Callithrix jacchus: one gene and its partner. The protein of the gene in region 1 purifies or fractionates together with the protein of each later gene. This does not show direct contact. Links are inferred from orthologs where the notes say so. Each region holds a gene or a part of one and is shown on either strand. Other genes may lie near its edges.

The links. Proteins that work in one complex are often made in the same cells at the same time.
Region 2: the proteins of RAB11B (region 1) and PI4KB purify together in Homo sapiens (co-immunoprecipitation; 3 studies listed by BioGRID and IntAct, with this or other methods). This does not show direct contact. The link is inferred for Callithrix jacchus from reciprocal best matches to the Homo sapiens genes RAB11B and PI4KB.

Annotation. Positions count from the first base shown.
Region 1 is NC_133523.1:7,923,744-7,927,969, reverse strand, and holds the end of RAB11B (ras-related protein Rab-11B), read right to left. Parts: intron 2,843-4,226; coding exon 2,649-2,842; intron 2,446-2,648; coding exon 2,365-2,445; intron 1,486-2,364; coding exon 1,340-1,485; 3' UTR 501-1,339; downstream 1-500. UniProt on the Homo sapiens protein: The small GTPases Rab are key regulators of intracellular membrane trafficking, from the formation of transport vesicles to their fusion with membranes.
Region 2 is NC_133519.1:11,196,867-11,200,366, forward strand, and holds part of PI4KB (phosphatidylinositol 4-kinase beta), read right to left. Parts: intron 3,436-3,500; coding exon 3,326-3,435; intron 2,739-3,325; coding exon 2,634-2,738; intron 1,967-2,633; coding exon 1,843-1,966; intron 28-1,842; coding exon 1-27. UniProt on the Homo sapiens protein: Phosphorylates phosphatidylinositol (PI) in the first committed step in the production of the second messenger inositol-1,4,5,-trisphosphate (PIP). May regulate Golgi disintegration/reorganization during mitosis, possibly via its phosphorylation.

The DNA of each region.
Region 1 (4,226 bases):
GAGGAATCCCATGCCACACATTTTGCTGTCCCCAGCATTCCCCCTCCAGGCTCTCCTCTGGTGTCACTCTAGGGTAGAGACAGGGGACATCACTAACATCTGCAGGGCAAGCCCCCCTCATCAGGACCCCAGGGGAGGGGCAGCCCTGGCAGGAGATAAAGGGATAAATCCTGGCCATTGCCCTTGACTCCCGTCCCCACCAGGGGGTGCCCGCAGTCCTGCGGTCCTAGGACTGGGGAGTTTAAGGTCAAGGACAAGCTGTAGCCTTCCCTCCCTCCCTGGCATAGGGGCAGCCTGGAGAGGGCCCACCCCAATTGCACTGGGCCAGCTTAGGGGGCCTCCAAGCTGCCCTTGGCAGGTGCTGGGTCCTCCCGTTCCCTATTGGGGTGGGCCGTGGAGATGGGGGGTCTGGCCTGCATTGGGGAACATGCAGCAAGAGGGGCCTTGGCCCAGGAGCGGGCACTTGATGGAAAGAAAGAAGACAGAGGCGCAGCGGCAAGTTTCTGTACAGGAAGTCAGATTATACATTTTAGTAATGGGTGAGGGGACAGGGATGGGGGGCAACAGTGCAGGGGCCACAGGGAGAAGAAGAGGTCGAGAGCTGGGGTTTGGCATAAATCTTACAAAGTGTATAAAGAATCTGTGTTTCTCTACAATAACAAAAACCAAAGGCTACAAGAGCGGTTGTATATACAAAACATGGAGATATTGCTTCACTTGCAAACAGGTTCCAGACCAGAAGGGAAACGAGACAGAGGAGGGGGAGCGGGAGGGCCGAGAGGGCACGCTGCGTGCAGGAGATGGGTGGGGGAGAGGGTGACGGGCTTCTCCCTGCATCAATCAACAGGCAGAGGTGGGAGGCCTGTGCGAGCTGCTATGCGCGGAGGAGCGGGTGGGTGCCGAGAGCCTGGGGAGTTCCACCTGCCCTGGACCCCACTGCCTGGTTCTTCAGGCTTTGGCCTGGAGCAGGGTTCTGGGTGGGGATGATGGGCTGGGTCACCCAGCCACAGAGAGAGGGAGGCAATCACTCCCTGGAGTCTGCCGAGGAAAAGGAGAGAAGCCGGCACCATGAGCCCGTCCTTCTCACCTCTGGCCAGCCCTGTCCATCCTGCCACCCTCCCCACCCGGCCAAGACGCCCGAGGGGACCCGAGTTGGGTGGGTGCAGCAAAAAGGGGCTTCTAGCTTTTTCCCAGGCAGGACGGGGGTAGCACTGGCTCCTGTCCGTCCTGGGCCCCGGCCATGCAGAGCTCACTGGGAGGGCTGGAGCGAGCCGGCCACAGAGAGACAGCAGGGAGGGGCCGGAGGACACCATGGCAGGGGCGGACGGAGGCGCAGGGGTCACAGGTTCTGGCAGCACTGCAGCTTGTTGGGCTTCTGTCCATCTGTCGTGGGCGGCACGCTGATGTCCACCACGTTGTTCCCAGGGGACTCGTCATGGGCAGCACGGTCTGCGATCTGTTTCTGTGACACGATGCGGTAGATCTCTGCCAAGGGGGCACAGGGGGACGTCGGGTGAGCCAGCGTGTGCCCTGCCTGCTGAGGGGGCCCCTCCCTGCAGGACTCCAAAGCTCCTCTCCAGGCCCCCACAGCACCCCCATCACATCGGGGTAACAAGGTCAGGGCTGCGCACCCAGCCAGGGCAGGACCCACATCTGGTCAGAGCCAGCCCTGGCCTCTCGCTCCCTAAGGCCAGAAGCACCCTTCTCCCTCAGAGGTAAACTCCCAGAAGCCAAAGGGCTACAGGTCCCTGAGGCCACCCGCCTCCCCCAAGCGCCAAGAGTCAAGGTAGGGCCCCTCTCCAGGAACTGGGACTGGGCGGGGTGGGTTGTCTCTGTGTCCCCAGTGCCAGCAAGGGCTAAAGCTTGTCTGACCCTGTGAAGTGCCCATGTGGGTCGGCAGGTTTAACAAACAAAGGTTAGGGGCGGTGGTGGAAAAAAGATGAAACAAATAGGCCAGGTGCAGTGGCTCACACCTGCAATCCCAGCACTTTTGGAGGCCGAGGCAGGCAGATCACTTGAGCCCAGGAGTTTGAGACCAGCCTGGCCAACATGGTGAAACTGTCTCTACTGAAAACACAAAAATTAGCTGGGTGCGGTGGCACGTGCCTGTAATCCCAGCTACTCAGGAGGCTAAAGCAGGAGAATCACTTGAACCTGGGAGATGGAGGTTGCAGTGAGCTGAGATTGAGCTACCACATTCCAGCCTGGGCAAAAGAGCAAGACTCCGTCCCCTCATGACAAAAAAAGAAAGAAAGAAAGAAAGAAAGCAAAAATCAAACAAACAAAACAGTGAAGGTTCAGAGTGCTCCTGTTCCACCCTGCCTGGCTGGCGCCCTACCCACACCCATCCAGTCCCGGGGCTACCTGTGAGGATATTCTTGAAGGCTTCCTCTACGTTGGTGGAATCCAAGGCCGAGGTTTCGATGAAGGACAAGTTGTTCTTTTCTGGAACAGAGAATAATGCCCAGGTGAGCTGGGAGGCGGGGTGATGCTCCCACACACTCTCAGGGACCCCGCTCACCCACCTGGCCCAGGACACAAGCCACTCCTCAGGGAAGGGACACCAGAGCTGTGGCCAGGTCCCCCACACTGAGGGGGTGTCTTGCCTTCCACACACCTCTCTGATGCCTGTGTCTCCATCTGCTCACCTGCGAAGGCCCGGGCCTCGTCGGTGGGCACAGCCCGCAGGTGGCGCAAGTCACTCTTGTTCCCCACCAGCATAATGACGATGTTGCTATCTGCATGGTCCCGAAGCTCCTTCAGCCAGCGCTCCACGTTCTCGTAAGTCAGGTGCTTGGCGATGTCATATACCAGCAGGGCGCCCACAGCACCGCGGTAGTACCTGCAGGGTCAGGGGCCCATGAGCCGCTCTGAAGGGGGACTGTGGGCAGTGGCAGCCTCCTGGGATAACAGCACATGTCACGCCCAGGGCTAACCATTGTGGCCTCAAGAGAAGGGTGTGTGTCTAGAGGCCCCAGCTCTGCTCCCTGGATCCAGCTCTGAAATGTGGGGGCCTGAGGAGGGAATGTGGGGAGTGGGGGTAGAAGATACCATGAGGTCATCAAAAAAAGGGAAGAGGCCGGGCGCTGTGGCTCAAGCCTGTAATCCCAGCACTTTGGGAGGCCGAGGCGGGTGGATCACGAGGTCAAGAGATCGAGACCATCCTGGTCAACATGGTGAAACCCCGTCTCTACTAAACATCAAAAGATTAGCTGGGCATGGTGGTGCGTGCCTGTAATCCCAGCTACTCAGGAGGCTGAGGCAGGAGAATTGCCTGAACCCAGGAGGCGGAGGTTGCGGTGAGCCAAGATCACGCCATTGCACTCCAGCCTGGGGGACAGAGCAAGACCAGTCTTTCAAAAAAAAAAAAAAAAAAAAAAAAGCTGGGGTGAAGGAAACTGCAGCTGTGCAAAGAAAAGGCCACTGCCTACCATGCAGGGCCAGACTCAGCCCACTGAGGAGACAGACACCTAATCTCAGCACTTTGGGAGGCTGAGGTGGGAGAATCGCTTGAACTCAGGAGGAATTCAAGGCTGAAGTGAGCTATGATCGCACCACTGCACTCCAACCTGGGCAACAGCAAGACCCTGTCTTTCAAAAAAATAAGGCTGCGCATGGTGGCTCATGCCTGTAATCCCAGCACTTTGGAAGGCTGAAGCGGGGGGATCACAAGGTCAGAAGTTCGAGACCATCCTGGCCAATATGGTCACTACTAAAAATACAAAAATTAGCCAGGTGTGGTGGCAGGTGCATGTAATCCCAGCTACTTAGGAGGCTGAGGCAGGAGAATCGCTTGATCCAGGGAGGCGGAGGTTGCAGTGAGCTGTGATCATGCCACTGCACTCCAGCCCGGGTGACAGAGCAAGTCTCCATCTCAAAATAAAATAAATAAATAAATAAACAAACAAATATATTAAAATAATATAAGCCAGGCATGGTGGTGCATGCCTGTAGCCCCAGCTACTCAGGAGGCTGAGGCAGGAGGATCGCTTGAGCCTGGGAGATTGAGGGTACAGTGATCTGCGATTGTGGCACTGCACTCCAGCCTGGGCGACAGAGCAAGACTCTGTCTGTCTCGAAAAAAGAGATGACAGATAGACAGATGCACCTGAGGAATGAAGAAGATGGGAGCCGAGGACCTCGAGGCGACAGAGAGACCATGGTGGTGGGAGCATGGGGGCTTGGGAGGGGTACTGAAAAAGGCAGCTGAGTGGGTCCTGATGTCT
Region 2 (3,500 bases), on another chromosome or scaffold:
GGGCACTCGCTCCTGTTCCCAAATGGACTGTGAGGAGACATGGGGGATACAGGACTCTTATCTTTCTCCAGACTAGAGAAGGAGGCTAAAACGTCCCCTTTTCTCCAACCTCTCTCCTTGGTGGCATTGGATTCTAAGCCATCAAGTGAGTAAGGCTCTCTTAATCCAGCGAGGACCAGCGAGTTTCGAAAGGAGTCTAGGGACTGACAAAGTCAGGAAGCTACACTCAGTGGGAAAAGGTATCACGTGATACCTCCAAAAGAGGCAGGGAGAACCGGACACTGCACTATCCCTTCTCAAGCAGGGACAATGGGAGCCATAAGTTCAAACAAGAAGAAAGAGGCCACGTGCGGTGGCTTATGCTTATAATCCCAGCACTTTGGGAGGCTGAGGCAGGTGGGTCACCTGAGGTCAGTTCAAGACCAGCCTGGCCAACATGGCGAAACCTTGTTTCTACTAAAAATACAAAAATTTGCCGGGTATAGTGGTGCATGCCTGTAAGTCCAGCTACTCAGGAGGCTAAGGCAGGAGAATTTCTTGAACCCAGAAGGTGGAGGTTGCAGTGAGTCAAGATTGCACCACTGCGCTCTAGCCTGAGTGACAGAGCAAGACGCTCTCAAAAAATAAAAAAAAAGAAAGAAAAAGAAAAAGGAAAGGAAAGGATTTAGGTCCAGAGAAGATGTCTCTGGAAAACGAAAATATTTACACGCTATAACGAACAGTATTAAACAGATTAAGTGGCTTGCAGGTGACCAACCCAGAGGGATCAGATCAATACCTCAGCACACTATAACCCACCTGCTACAGACCACTTGGGAAGGTTTTTATGTTTTGTTTTTTTTTTTAAAGGGAGGAGGACCAAATTATTATTTTAAAATTTGATTACAACCAACTGTGTTGGCATTAAAATTAGAGGCATTAAGTTTGAATAATGGCTATCTTATACCAAAAACCAGATATTTGAGTTTGCAAAAATGGGAAAAGAAGTTTTCTAGTCATTTCAGATTAGAAATCAATTTAGAGAAATGAGCCCCATGTTTACAATGATTGTGCCACAGATTTAAACTTCAGTAGTGCATTAGTAAACTGTTCACATTTTGATCTTCCCCTTGAGATGTGACAGCTATTTCTTGAAAATAATCTCAGTACCTTGTACAAATAAATTGGTCTTAACACTAGGAGAAAGTGGGTCACTAAACTTTGTCCCAGCAAAATTTTCTTTTTGGCTTGCTTCGGTTTAGAAATGCTGATTTCTTCAAACGTGTATTTTTCTTAGAGACAGGGTCTGTTGCCCAAGCTGGAGTGCAGTGGCTATTCACGGTCTGGATGCTGCTACTGATCAGCATGGGAGTTCTGAACTGCTCTGTTTCTGACCTGTGCCAGTTTGCCCCTCCCTTAGGCAACCTGGTGGTCCTCTGTTCCCAGGAGGTCACCATACTGATGCTGAACTTAGTGCAGACACCCAACTGGCATAGCACACTACAGCCCAGAATTCCTGGGCTCAAGCCACCCTCCCGCCTCAGTCTCCTGACTAGCTGAAACTACAGGCCTGAGCCAGGGTGCCAGGACATTTTGGAAGTTTTCATCTAAAAGGCAAACCTAGCACTCTAAAGTTCAGACTTGGAACAGGGTAGGTGCAGGTCTCAAAAGGGCCAAAAGAGGCCGCTGTGGAGCTGTTCCTATGGCCAAGCTTCCTAGGGAAAAGGAGCACTAGCTTTTCTTTACCCTGCCTTTGTTTTAGACCTGGGCAGGAAGTGGTCCCCAGAAGAATAATCTGTGTAGTCACCTCAGGTGGGCTGGTGTTGGGCTGAGTTCCCCTTCTCTCTCCTTCTCTTCTCTTACCTGCAGTTGCTTCAACACCTGAAAGGCCAGCAGCTCTTGCCGAAGGTCATCCCCACACTTGACAATGACCGACAGGAGCCGCCAATTGGGGAGATGCCCGTAGGGGGAGCCCTCTCTGATCCGCCTGTGAAGACAGAAGTAAACGGTGCCAAAGGTCGATGCCAGAGTGAGGACAAGAAACGTGGCTTCCACCTAAAATCCAAAGCAAATGCCCCGTAGGGCAAGGACCCACACAGCCTGGGAGTCTGACAGCCTTTTTTGGAGGCTGACAGACAGTAAAGTTGGTGCAGTGAGCACCTGCAACTGCCTCTGAGCTCTGAGAGGGGTTCAGAGACCCCACCACCCAACTCACCGCACTTTCTCCTGCCAGGGCTCTCTGAGAGGGGTTCAGAGACCCCACCACCCAACTCACCGCACTTTCTCCTGCCAGGGCTCTCTGAGAGGGGTTCAGAGACCCACCACCCAACTCACCGCACTTTCTCCTGCCAGGGCTCTCTCTCTGAGAGGGGTTCAGAGACCCCACCACCCAACTCACCGCACTTTCTCCTGCCAGGGCTCTCTGAGAGGGAGGGGTTCAGAGACCCCACCACCCAACTCACCGCACTTTCTCCTGCCAGGGCTCTCTCTCTGAGAGGGGTTCAGAGACCCCACCAGCCAACTCACCGCACTTTCTCCTGCCAGGGCTCTCTCTCTGAGAGGGGTTCAGAGACCCCACCACCCAACTCACCGCACTTTCTCCTGCCAGGGCTCTCTCTCTGAGAGGGGTTCAGAGACCCCACCACCCAACTCACCGCACTTTCTCCTGCCAGGGCTCTTTGAGAGCAACTGCAGAAGGATCTTCTGGGTCTCGTTTGAAGGCTGTTGGGGTGTGAGCCAGCTGTTCCGAAAGGCGCCGGCTGGCAAGAAGAAAATACATCATTTGCTTGAGGACGTGTCCCCAACCTCATGCCCATCTATACTGACATTTCCTGCACTGTGTCCTGGATTCTGGGCACACGAAGACAGCAACCCAGGCTGAAAGGGACTCACAGAAGGAAAGATAACCAGTGACACCTTTTTGCTAACTTAGTGACTGTAATCATGTTAAAATTAAGATTACCAGGCCCTCCATATTCCACTACCAACACTGATTCAGAACAGGGCGTGACTCTAGAATCTGCATTTTCAACAAGGCCTCCTTCCTCTCCCCGGATTCTGACACACGTCGCTTTGAGACGCACTGCTTGAGTTCCTTCCTCTGGTGCTTTCATCCCTTTGGAATCCTTTTAAAATTTAATTTCCTTCTTTGGTAGCCCAAGTAATTTTTCAACCTATACACACCTTCATTGCCTCAAGTTTGGTGGCCCCAAATAAGGACAGAATGATAGAAGAGGGAAAGACACAGGCCAACAATAGATGACTGAGACGGATAAGAAGGTAACAAAGAGACGGGAAGTGCCTGAAAGAGGGAGGAAAAACGAGGGGCAGTGTGATCTGGCCATACCGGATGTCCCCTGCTGCAATGAACACAGGCTCCTTGCTCTCCTGGCTGGTGATGCTGTCCACAGAGAACTGGGAGATGTTGTCACAGCTGTTGGTGTGCACCTCAGGGAGCTGGGAGGGCAGGGGAGTGCTGGTCAGAGTGCTAAGTACAGGTCTCCTTTCTTGCCCTTCCTGCT